Coturnix japonica: one gene and its partners. The protein of the gene in region 1 purifies or fractionates together with the protein of each later gene. This does not show direct contact. Links are inferred from orthologs where the notes say so. Each region holds a gene or a part of one and is shown in the gene's direction. Other genes may lie near its edges.

Evidence for each region.
Region 2: the proteins of GLMN (region 1) and FKBP5 purify together in Homo sapiens (affinity purification with mass spectrometry; 3 studies listed by BioGRID and IntAct, with this or other methods). This does not show direct contact. The link is inferred for Coturnix japonica from reciprocal best matches to the Homo sapiens genes GLMN and FKBP5.
Region 3: the proteins of GLMN (region 1) and cullin-9-like purify together in Homo sapiens (affinity purification with mass spectrometry; 3 studies listed by BioGRID and IntAct, counting the BioPlex papers as one, with this or other methods). This does not show direct contact. The link is inferred for Coturnix japonica from reciprocal best matches to the Homo sapiens genes GLMN and CUL9.

What each region holds. Positions count from the first base shown.
Region 1 is NC_029523.1:12,319,483-12,323,108, forward strand, and holds part of GLMN (glomulin), read left to right. Parts: intron 1-937; coding exon 938-1,125; intron 1,126-1,547; coding exon 1,548-1,601; intron 1,602-2,500; coding exon 2,501-2,531; intron 2,532-2,891; coding exon 2,892-2,981; intron 2,982-3,344; coding exon 3,345-3,386; intron 3,387-3,498; coding exon 3,499-3,572; intron 3,573-3,626.
Region 2 is NC_029541.1:463,414-467,557, reverse strand, and holds the start of FKBP5 (peptidyl-prolyl cis-trans isomerase FKBP5), read left to right. Parts: upstream 1-1,310; 5' UTR 1,311-1,371; coding exon 1,372-1,416; intron 1,417-3,076; exon of another isoform or gene 3,077-3,254; intron 3,255-4,144. UniProt on the Homo sapiens protein: Immunophilin protein with PPIase and co-chaperone activities. Component of unligated steroid receptors heterocomplexes through interaction with heat-shock protein 90 (HSP90).
Region 3 is NC_029518.1:3,479,280-3,483,477, reverse strand, and holds the start of cullin-9-like, read left to right. Parts: upstream 1-1,357; 5' UTR 1,358-1,459; intron 1,460-1,771; 5' UTR 1,772-1,785; coding exon 1,786-2,374; intron 2,375-2,560; coding exon 2,561-2,715; intron 2,716-3,025; coding exon 3,026-3,529; intron 3,530-4,198. UniProt on the Homo sapiens protein: Core component of a Cul9-RING ubiquitin-protein ligase complex composed of CUL9 and RBX1. The CUL9-RBX1 complex mediates ubiquitination and subsequent degradation of BIRC5 and is required to maintain microtubule dynamics and genome integrity.

The sequences.
Region 1 (3,626 bases):
GAAGCTTGTCTGTGAGACCTTTGCTTCTTTTATTGCAGAACTTTTAAGATGCGCAGTGATGGAGGCAGAGATTACCAGAATATGATAGAAAGGTTAAGATAGTTAAGGCTGCTCTGAAAAACGGGCTTTTATCCCTGCCTTTCCCATTGGGCACAGTCCGAAAACATTTATTATGCTAATTATGAATTACTTTTTCTTTGTTTTCTCAAGAAATCCACTTCTGCTCTTTGTGGAATTGGTTAATGAGTACTGTGGCTAAGGTCGGTAAAGATGCATTTAAGTACGTGACATCTGATGTAATTCTTATTCTCCAGAATGTCAGGCCTTGGATATTTGGTTTGGACAGCAGTGGAAGGATGGATTAACCTCTGCTTCTCTATAATTCATACAGTAGAAATTACATTAACTCTTAATCCACACAGATGTGTTGGGGAAAAGAACACACGTAGTTGTGAAGTTCTCCAGTGTCTTCCTGCTGTGAGTTGCTGGAAAGGCCATACAGAACAATTCTAACTTTAAAACAGGCCTTGCCTTTGGCAGGTGAACATCATGTTGCATAGTGTTAATAGTCAGAGAGCAAAATACTGAGTACTCTGTGAAAAACAAAAGTCTTGTGGCATAATGTGGTCGGGAGGCCATTATTATTCACAGCATCTATAGGTAATGGAGCCAGATTAGGTTTTGCAGTGTGACTTTTGTGAAGTGTTTTGCTAATTTTTGAGTGCTTGACTTTGCTGTCTTAGCACTTTTCTGACAGTTTGTTTTTCCCATAAGGTTTTTTATTTGTGTATGTATCATAAATATTAACAAAATATTTATAGTGATTTCTACATATCCTACTTAGGGTATTTTACTGTAAAGACTGTTTAAGCTTTGTAATTTATTAAACATACAGATTTTTAAAGGCAATGAAGTGAAATCTAACTTTCTTTTTTAGGGCATTTTGCTGGATATGAGAGAATTAATGCCACTAGTGTTTTTACATCATAAAAGGAGAAGATCATACTGGGAGAATCAGGAGTTTGAGGACGTAGAGCAAAAGAATTCTGCAGATTCTTTGGCATGTCTGTCATACCTGATGTTTGTTCAGCATTTTGGTATCAATTGCTTACCAGTGGTATTTAGGTAAGAGCTGTTCTTCCTCACTTACATTAAGTTTGCACTTGGAAACTTCTGAACAAAATAAAACTATTTTATTCTTAATAGCCATTAATGAAAACTGTATTTCACCAATTTTAGTTTTGTGGCAGCTTTATGTAGTTCAGCAGTTCTGCAGATTACTACAGTTTGATTGTAGATGAGTTGACCTTTTAAATAAACTGATAGGATTAGTCTTACACTGAAAATTAATTTGTATTACAATTATGTAGACAGATGCCAGATATGAATTATAAACAGAAATTGGATGTTGTGCTTTGCACCTATCTCAGAACTTTTAGTTTTGTAAATACACTTCTATAGGTTTTTCCAGAAGGACTAATGCTTTCAAATGGATTAGCTGTGAAAATGCTTATGCACTTTAATATAGACCTAACTTTCTTTTTTAGTTCTTCGTACCTTCTGCAGTGCAATATGACACATATAGAAGTGCTGCTGAAAAGGTAGGATTATATGATATTTGGAGCTCCAGATAGTAGAGGGAAATTTTTGTCCTATGTTTTATTTCTGGTCTTTTCTAATAATTCATAGAATCAAATTCTGATTATGCCAAATAAGTTCAAAGGTGATCCTTAAAGCTGTCAGTTAAAATTGCAAGCTCTGTGACAAGGTGATATTCTCTTTTTCTAAGAGCTTTAGCAAATTGTCTAAAACACACATCTATTCTTTTTAGAAAATTTATTCAGGAGTTCAAAATTAAGGTAGAATAATTAGTGTATATTTATTTGTAGTTCTGTATACTCTCTAGGAGTATAAGATTGTGTATCATATCAGAATACATTCAGGTAAGCACTATCTGATTAGAGGTCTGTCTTTCTAGAGGAAACCAAGCTTCTCTGTATGTTTATTTTGCCTTCCATTAGTAGCAATGTTGACCAAATATTTTCTAGCATTGCTGTAGAAGGGAGAAGTTTCTGATTATGACTCCTTATTATTTCCTAGTAAAACAAAACTTCTTGGCCTCTTCTTTTTAGGATTTGGTGTGTTTTTCTTTGTCTCACAGAGCTATCTCTGCACATAGAACAATTTGGAACAAGTTTTATTTTCGTTGTTAATTAATATCTTGATACCTGTGGGATATGAGCTGCTACCTCACAGATATTAAGACGGGAAAACAACTAAGCAGTTCTTACCCTAAAGAAAGGAGTCTAATTTGCAGCTTTTATTAATTATATATACTCAATATATTGTAAAAGGTTTTTGAGAGACTAAAAGAAGACATCGTGTTTAGAAATCAGAATGAAAATGGTTAACAGCCAAGTTACTTCTTGTAATCTACTATTTCACATCAAAGATCATTATTGTCTCCTTAATTTACAACTTGATGTCTTTTTCTTTACAGAACAGAAGAATCTATGCTATCTAAAGGACTTGTAAGTTTACTTTTCCTTTGATCACATGTTCATTGTTAGAATGCTGATTATTTTCAATTTTAGTATTGTAAAACCTTAGTTTCTCTTTCTTAGAAAGGTATGAATTTTTTTCATACCTTTTCAGTTTCAGAAGTATTTTGAGGCTTAGATGTTCTTCAGTCTTACAACCATTTAAAATAATTTACTGAACATTACACACATTTGCATACATGTAAACTACCATTACTACTTAAATTTGTAGCTCCTGGGAGATCCAAATATGTGAATTGTACTAAAGGTAGTTCTATCTATGAAATATTAAGCATACAGATCAATGTCTTGTATATATGCAAAGTGTTTGTTTTTCCTTCCCACCTTCAGGATCTGTTTGAGAGCTGTTTATTGAGAGTGGAAGATAATGGCCTTCTTCATCAGTATTTGGAATTCAGAGAATTTATTAATGTGCCTCAGGTAACAAGAAGCAGTGTACAGAACTGCCTTTGTAGTTGATAATAAACCATACCCAGTTGTTTTCTAAGCGCTGGAGGGAGGATGTGCTACTGAACCTTCATGCAGTTGTGTTGCCAGACTGAAACCTACAGTGTCATGCTGTACTGAATTGCATGCTACACTGAATTGTTTATCCTCTGATACACACTGCGGCATGAAGTTATAATGACAAATTATACTTTAGGTGGCTCTTGCTACTTCAGCTGCTTTTTTATTTGGATTCAACTGTTAGTGGCCTGGCTTGTTTGTTAATACCTTGATCAGATTTTGTTCAAAGTGATGTAATAATGTGCACGTAATTACAGTTTCTTTGTCTAACTGCAGGATTTGGTGAAAGTTATGACCCTTTGTCCCATAGAGCATCTGGTATGTAATGTGACCTACAGAATGATTTATGTACTGAGTTTAATTAGAATGAATCATATAATGTTATTTTTGTTATTATTAGCGTTTAATACATATATGATTGTTTTTTTAGAGAAAGAAGAGTTTGAGTATTTTGCAATTGTTCATAGATAAATTTGAAGCAGAGGGAAAATATACATTATTCAGGTATGCATTCAAATTACTGTAGATAGTACAATACAAGCCTCGCTGTAACTTTCT
Region 2 (4,144 bases), on another chromosome or scaffold:
GGCAAGGGGCTCAGTTTGGTGTCTCCATTGCTGCAGGAAGGACTCAGGGAGCAACGGTGTGCTGGGCTCAGAGGTGTTGCGGTTTGCAGGAGGGAGGGAGCAGGGGATGAGCTCCTCTCCCTCTCCCTCTCCCTCTCCTCTCCTTTTTCCTTCCCCTTCCCCTTTTTCCTTTTTCCTACCTTTGGGCAGAAGGCTTTGCCCTCACACTGTACATGGTGTGGGAGCACATCCCCAGGTTGTCACCCCAAGGGTACCCAGGTGTCAGCATGCCCAGCTATCACTTGGGGTGCCCAAGCTCAAGGCTTCACCCTGATCCCTGTCCCCACCAGGGACAGCCATATGCCAGAAGGATGACTGACGAGGGACAAGCAGTGCCCTGGCAGCTGTGCGGAGCCTTCAGAGATTATTCCTGGAATTTTGCTCCAGAGGAGCAGATTTCCTCCTGGGATGGGGCAGGCACTGGGGGGGAGTGGGAGGGAGCAACACACCCAGCACCAGGGCTTTGCACCCAAACCATGCAAGACTTCCCCCTGTTGCAGTGCCACGCTGCAGCACGTCCCCACTCTTCCTATGCCCACGGCTGTCTCCTGTGGGCCCCAATCCTGCCATCACCTCCCTGCGCCCCATGTCACTGCTGGGGGCTGCAGCTCCGCTCCCAGCCCAGCGCAGCGGGATCTTGCGTAACGCTGTGCTACAACACCCAGGCACTGCGGGCGGGTGAGGCGAGGACAGGGCTGCACCGTGCATTTCCTGGCATGGGGAAGTTGACGTCAGCTCGTGCTCTTCTAACATCGAATTTCCTTACAAACACCAATTGCAAAGTTGGGCTGGGGGAGGACTGAGCCCCCCCACGCCGCGCTGCTGCTACAGCCGCTGGAAGGGCTCTGGTACAGACACCCCGGTGCCCTGCTCCAATGCAAAGTCTCGTACACGTTTAGTTTTCTCTGCACGTGAACAAATGGAGCGCCGCAGTCACGCGCAGCCCAACGCAGCCCCCACAGCTGCAGCTTTGTAGGATGTTGGCTTCAGCGCGGGATCCTGCACGAGGTGCAGCTGTGTCAGTGATGCCCCACACACTCACACTCACACTCACACTCACACTCACACTCACACTCACACTCACACTCACACTCACACTCACTACCTGGTGGAGAGAAACGCAGTGATTGGAAACGTCTCGGAGCAGGAGCCGGGATCAGCGGGTCACACCGCGGGGCGGGGAAAAGCTCTGATTTGCATACCGCCTCCACTCCGGCCAATGAGAAAGCGTTGCGGGCGGTGTGGAGCAGACGGGCGGACGAAGCTACCAATGGGAGATGGGGAGAGGGGCGGGGCGAAGCGACGGGGAAACCCGGCCGGCGCGGGCGCGCGATGCCACTTCGGAGCCGAGCGGTGGCGGAGCGCGGGCGGCAGCAGGTGGGGCTGGGATGGGGGTGATGGGAGCAGCATCACGCGTGGGGCCGGGATGGGGGTGATGGGAGCAGCATCACGCGTGGGGCCGAGCCGTGTCGGTTGTGGAGTGTGGAGAGGGGGGAACGGAGCGTTACGCCCACGGAGGGGGCGAGGGAGGGACTGAGGTCCGTAGCGCTGCGCCTTTGGGTGCGCTCCGCTCGTGCCCACGGAGCAGCGCATCCCTCGCGGCAGAACCGGAGTCGGACTGAGATCGAGTTTGAGATTAGGATCGGGATTGGGGTTCGTCTGGCGACTGGGACCGGGATTAGGATTGCGATTGGGGCTGGAATCAGGATTGGGATTAGGATCGGTATTAAGATTGGGACCAGGATTACAGTTGGGATGAGGACCGAGGCCCGTCGGTACTGCAGTGTCCAAAGAGGGGATTTATTCTCAGTCAGAAAATGAGGCTGCTGCGCGGTGAGGATTTAATGAGTTTCCTAATGGCATTGACCAAAAATACCCCCGAGTGCAGGCAGCAACGTGCAGTTTTATTCAGGGCAGGTGCAGCAGCGTGGACAAAGTAAATGGGGCGTCTGGTTCAGATCCCACTGTTTCCTCTGCCTGTAGTGGTGTGGGTCTCCCAAATCATCTGGATTTTGTGTTTGTTTTTTCACCCAACCCACACCTGGCAGGATGTGCTGCTGTCACCCCAGCTGTCCCCTGGCTGTTCTGACCTATGGGAGTTACAAACTGTAAGGGGTAACCCAGGGTTGAGCCAAGTCAGTGTCCCCGTGGTGCTGTGGCAGGGGATGCCGTGTGAGTCCTGGACCCCATCGTGTGACATTACACTGCCTTGGTGGGCCAGGATGTGGGAGAAAGCAGGGAGAAAATAGAGTGGGAGTAGAAGATATGGGGTGGGAGGAGGAAATATGGGGCAGGAGGAGGAATGTAGGTTTCTGTGGAGGTGCTGGAGATAGTGATAGCTGCTGGAACCCTGGGAGGGAAAAGTGCACCCGATGGTGAGATAGTAGGGAGTGGCTCTGGATGCAGCCATGGGGTGAGCCTGGAGGTGGTGCTGGAAGAAGCCTCTGTGATGGCTGTGGTTTGGCTCCAGAGGTGGCCATGGGGCAGCCATAACAGGGCCCTGGAGGTGGCCACACATGGGACCCGGTGCTGGGGAACCCGCAGGACACGGGCTGCATGTTCCCGTGAGGTCCCCTCCCCTTGGGACGAGGAGGGACTGGGGTCAGTTCCCTGTGAGCAGGGGGAGAGCAGCACCCGAGATTTCTAGACAGCAGACCCCAAACCACCCTGCTGAGAACGCCCCTGTGCAATTAGGTGGGTTTTAATTGCAGCCAAGCAAAGGAGAAGGCTCACTAGGAAGCTTGGAGGTGCTCCACCTGGACACCCGGGCCTGCCCACCTTTGTTAGTTCCTCAAGGATAATTAGCTGCTAGATGAGCCCAGGGAGAGGCGGTCTCAAGTTTGGCCAATGCTTCCACCCCATTGTTCGGTGCTGATAAAGGCTTTGCTGAGCTCTGAGCTGTGCCACTGCTTCTCGGCTAGTCACTTTCTATGCTAGTTACCACGGGAGTCTGTGTGCTGCAAGGAGGTGGGGAGATGCATTCCAAAAGCATCCCTGGGCACCTGCATAGCGCCTTGTGTCAATCTTTAACCCCCAGCACAGGGAGAACACCGGGAAACACTGCCCAGATAGGAGCAGACCTGCTTAGGAGCTGCAGAAATTGGGGGTAAGGTGCTGCTAGTGGTGTGTTCTGCAAAGTGGGGAATCTCCGGAGCTCTGTGAAGGAGCTGCTCGCAAACAGTAGTGCTGCTTGTGGAGAATTGCCCTAATTAAAGGTATTCCCACTTCAAGGAGTTTTTAAAATTTACGTTAGTTGCTTAATTAAATCAAACTAGCCCTTGGCAGTGTTGTCTTGGTTGCCAATAACAGTGTTTCTGGCTGTCAGCGCAGTGTGCACTGTTGGTGTGTGCATCACTGGTTTGTGCATACTGGTGTGTGGTTGCACACGTGGTTGTGCACACGTGGGGTATGCATTTGTATGCATAAGTGGCTGTGCACATTGTGCATGCACGTGTAGTTGTGCACATTTGCATGCGTGTGTAGCTCAGCAGAGGTCCTCAGAACCTGCTCTTGCAGAAGCTTCCTTGCATCTGACTGCACCTTCACCTGAGCACTGCTTTGTGCAGGCAGAGGTGGAGGTCTGTGCCCCATACAGGTGTGCATGGATTGATGTTCTGGGATTTCACTCTGTGCTCTCAAAATGCTGCTGAGGATGTAAGTGATGAAATAGAGCCCCCTATTACTGGAGAGCTGCTGCAGTTGAGGCTCACCTGGCTGAAAGGAACCGGTGCACTGCAGAAAGCCCTCTGTTACAAGCACTGAGATGTCTTTATCAAAATCTAATGTTCTTTCCTGAATTTATCCAGAAGAAAACTCTAACTTGGAAGAGACCTGGCGTACGGGAAATCCCTTGCTTACCCCATGCTATAGTGACATGTGCTCCTCATGCATGGGGATGTGGTGCAGCAGGGATGCAGCAGCAGAGCCCAGTTAAGTTTGTTCCGTGGCCTGCAGGCTGTGTTTTGGTGTGCAAACAGGAGCAAATGTGTTGTTTTTTTCAGCCTGGAAGGAAATGAGACCACGTTCCCCTCTGTTGTGTGAGCAGCGATGAGCTCGTGGCAGCTCTGCTGCCCACAAAGCGGAGATTTACAGATACCCACTGATG
Region 3 (4,198 bases), on another chromosome or scaffold:
GCCTCAGCAGGGCCACAGGAGAAGGACTGGAGTGTGCTTGGTCCTGCATGGGAGCTGCTGCCTGGTCCTGGCCCTGCAGGGAGAGCGAGTGAGCAAAGGAGCTGCTGCATCCTTAGGGGTAGGAGCAGCTACTGTAACTTCTTTTTTTTTTTTTTAAGTTAAAGACAAAAGAAGCCTTGGGGGGAGGAAAAAAAAAAAAAAAAAAAAAAGGAAAAAAAAAAAAAAAAAAAAAAAAAAAAAAAAAAAAAAAAAAGAAAATGACTTTATTTTTCTAAGTGTTAAACTCAGTATTTATGTAATACTTTAAGGAATAAAAGTTTGGCTCCTGTACAGTTTTCATGGGGTTTGTACCGGGGGGATGGGAGAGGGGTGGGTGGGCGTGGAGGCAGGAAGGGGCCTTGCTTTTGAGTTTGTATTGTAACCTTGGACATGTTCCCTCCACGTTAGCGTTTAACTGTGCTGTCTGCTGGGATGTCCCGGCCCTCCCTGGGAGATGAGGGGCTGTCAGCAGCCTATCTCTGCTCTCCCTGCCCATAGTGCAGGTGGCACCTCCTGAACTCCCAGCTGAGGGGCTGGGCTGGAGTTTCCCCCTCCACAGCCTCAGCTTGTGCTGTTTTTTAGCGCACGGATGTGGCCGGGTTCCTTCCATGACCTCTGCAGAGAGCTTGGGGTGTGCGTTAACCTTGCCCCAAGCCCGTTACCAGGGCTGTGCTTTGCTCTGCTTTGCTCGTGCTGGCCCTATGGGGCTGCGATGGCAGTGCCCTGCTGGGCATCTCCTCCCTTCCTCCCCAAAGGCAACCGCTGGTTAAACGCTAATGGTGTCTTTTATTTAAGTGCAGACTTGTAAGAACACTCGTGTATCAGGGACGAAACGGCATTTATTGTGTGGTGACATTTTTAATTCATTTTACTGGTTTGAGGGTTGTGTGTGTGCGTGCATGTGTGCGGGTGTGTGTGTGCGTGCATAGGTGTGTGTGTGTGCGTGTGGGATTCTTTTTTCCCCTCCAGTTTCCAGGGTCGTGTATCTGGAAGGATGTGGAAGTTAATCACAGTACTATGTACAGAGCTTTCTTTTGTATGGGAAAAAAAAAAAAAAAAAGAATAAATTACTCTTTCAATAAATGTTATCATTTTGTGCACAGAGCTGGAGTCTTGTCCGTGTTTTGCAGGTGGAGGGGCATTAGGGAATATACAGCCAATGAATGGGGAACTTGGGTAGACCCTACTGCACAGCCCTTCTACTGTACAGCCCCCTATTGTACAGCCCCCTACTGCACAGCCCTTCTACTATCGTACAGCCCCCTACTGCCCAGCCCCGGCTGCAGGCGGTGCCATCTCCCCGCCCCGCCCGGCGGCATCGCGCAGGCGCCTGGCGGAGCATTGCCGGACACGGAAGCGGCTCTGATCCGTCCCTCCGGTCTCGGTGGGGCCAGGCCCGGAGCCGGAGCGGCGGGCGGAGGTGAGCGGGGCGGCCCGGAGGCGGAGCTGGGCCGCGTGGTGAGCAGAGCGGCCTGCGGGCATCGGGCTGCTCCGGGAAGGGCGGGGAGAACGAGGGAAGGTGTGCGGGGATGGGGAGCAACGTGTGTAGGTGACTCTTGTTGGTTCCAGTGCGACAGCGAGAGGCAGCGTCTGCATGAAGCCTTGAGCTCTGCGTGACCTTGCAGTCAGCGCTCAGACACTGAATAACAAGGGCGAAAGCAGGAGTGCAGGAGCAGTGATTTGTGCAGGGTGTCGCTGGGAGATGCTGACCCGCTCCCTTCTGTTCCCTTAGCGCCGTCCGGCACGATGGTGAAGGACGGGCAGGAGGGCGGGCTGCTGGTGCAGCTGGGCCCGCAGCTGCAGGCCTACCCGCACGAGCTGCTGCGGCAGCGGCGCGGCCCCGACGGCGCCCCGGAGTACCTGGTGCGGTGGCGCGTGGTCGGCGCGGAGGAGCGGGCGGCGGGAGGCGGCGGCGGCTCCTCCGCGGGGCTCCGCTCGGAGAGCGTGGCCACGTGGCTGTCGGCGGAGGAGGTCCGCGCCGGCTGCCCGGCGCTGCTGGGCGGGGGGGAGCGGGCGGGGCCGCGGGCGAAGGAGGAGAGGGCGCCCGGCCCGCCGCCCGCGCCGCCGGACGAGGCCTCGCTGCTGGAGATGAAGGCCGACGTCGGGAGCCTGGTGCGGCGAGCCGGGCGGCAGCTGGCCGGCGGCGGGACCCCCGCGGCCTCCGTCCTCCACACCGTCCGCGTGCTGAGCGCCTACGCCGGCATCGGCGCGCTGGCGGGCGCCTTCAAGGAGACGGGAGCCCTGGAGCTGCTGACGGAGATGCTGTGCCACCGGGAGAAGCCGATCTGCCGCGGCGCCGCGGAGATGCTGAGGGCTCTGGCGCTGCACGACGCAGGTGGGGGCTGCTGCGCAGGGCGCCGGGCCTTTGGGAGCAGCGGGGCCGAGCGGGGCTGGTGGCTCCGTGCTGTCATTGGCCTGGAGCCGCTCCTCTGCCCTGCTGATCTTCCAAGGTCTGTCTGATGCAAGGAGGATGGTATCAGAGTGCTCATTAGGGTACCTGAATGGTCTGTTATTGTTACAGGGATTCGGGCCTATATCCTTCTGTCTCTGAGCCAGCAGGATGGCATTGAGCAGCACATGGACTTTGACGGCCGTTACACCTTGCTGGAGCTGTTTGCTGAGATGATGTCCTCTGAGGAGCACTGCGTGTCCTTTGAGGGGATCCATCTCCCCCAGGTAGTGGCAAGGCCTGCCAGCTCTGGAATGGGCAGAAATGAGAGTGGGGCCCTAGAGCTGGCTGGTGTCCTGCTTGCTGGAGATAGAAGGGTAGTTGACAGTAGGCAGCTGAGCAGGACCTGGTATTGCGAGGGCTGGCACAGGGTCTGGTGCGGTGAGGAAGCAGGAGGAGAGCCTGCCTGTGGGCAGGGTGGGCCGAGGGGGGCTGTGTTGCTGCCTGCTGGTACGCAGCCATTGCAGAGCCATGGATGGGCTGGTGAGGGCGTGAGCTGCTCGTCCAGCTGCAGTCTGACGGTGCTGCCTGTTGCAGATCCCCGGGAAGCAGCTGTTTGCCCTGGTGAAGCGCTACCTGTGCGTCACTTCTCTGCTGGACAAGCTGAGCGGCGGCGAGGAGCAGAGCGAGGAGTGGCAGGAGAGCAGCCGTGTAAAGCAGGAGTTTGAGTTCAGCATGGCTATGGCAAACCTCATCTTGGAGCTGTTGCGCGTCATGGGCTGGGACCACAGCCACAAGCCGGAGCCACCGGCCCAGCAGGAGATGAAGCCTCGCCCCACCCGCTCCATCTTCCAGCCTGCAACCCCAGCCTGCCTTGCCAACCGAGTGCCTGTGCTCTCTTCAAACTATGGTTGCCAGAAAAAGCAAAATTGTGTCTTCTTGACCCCATCAGACTTTGCTGACCAGAATGGCTACGTGGAGTATTTGAAGGCAAACCTGGTGCATGGCATGCGGGTGCGCATGCTGGAGGACTGTGGTGATGTTAGAGCTGGGGATGAGGGCAAGTTTCTTCAGAGCTGTTATAAGATGCGCACGGCACAGGTAGGTCACTAGTGGAAGAATTCTGGCTGGGATGGCAGAGGGGAGTAACAGGTGGCCTGATCACTTGATAATGTCTCTGAATAACAGCAATCCTTCCCAGCTGTGCCTTCTGGCAGATTACTTGGCATCTTGCTTCACTTTCAGTTGTGTCACCTTCCAGATCTGCGTCCCTCTTCCCCCTGTTGCTTTACTTTCTCCTGTTCACATATATTGCAGCAAAACATGTCCTCAGTTTTGGACCATGCAGAGATGATTTTTTCATTGTGGGTCCCCTGTACTCAATAACTGCTTTGTGTCTTGTTTTATTTTATAGGGGATGGTAAACCTGCTCTGTAACGCCTTTAACAGTGCCATCCATAAGGAGATAGCCAAAGGAAATATCTTTCAGAGAAATCTTTATTCACTGTTGTGCTGAAGTGAATTCCACTGCACTTAGTCTATTTGGCCCACCAGTTCCCCCTTTTGTTTATTTTTCTACCTGATTAAGCTGAATGAACCTCCCATTGCTTATTTTATGTTGGTTGATTGCTTTGTTTGTTTTTGCAATTGCTTTGCATTCAGCTAAAGCCTTTTCTAAGGCTTGTGTTACTGGCAAAACTAGATCTGAAAGGTAATCAACATTCAGTGAAGAAGTTTTTTAGCATTTACATTTTCACGTCCATGATTTCA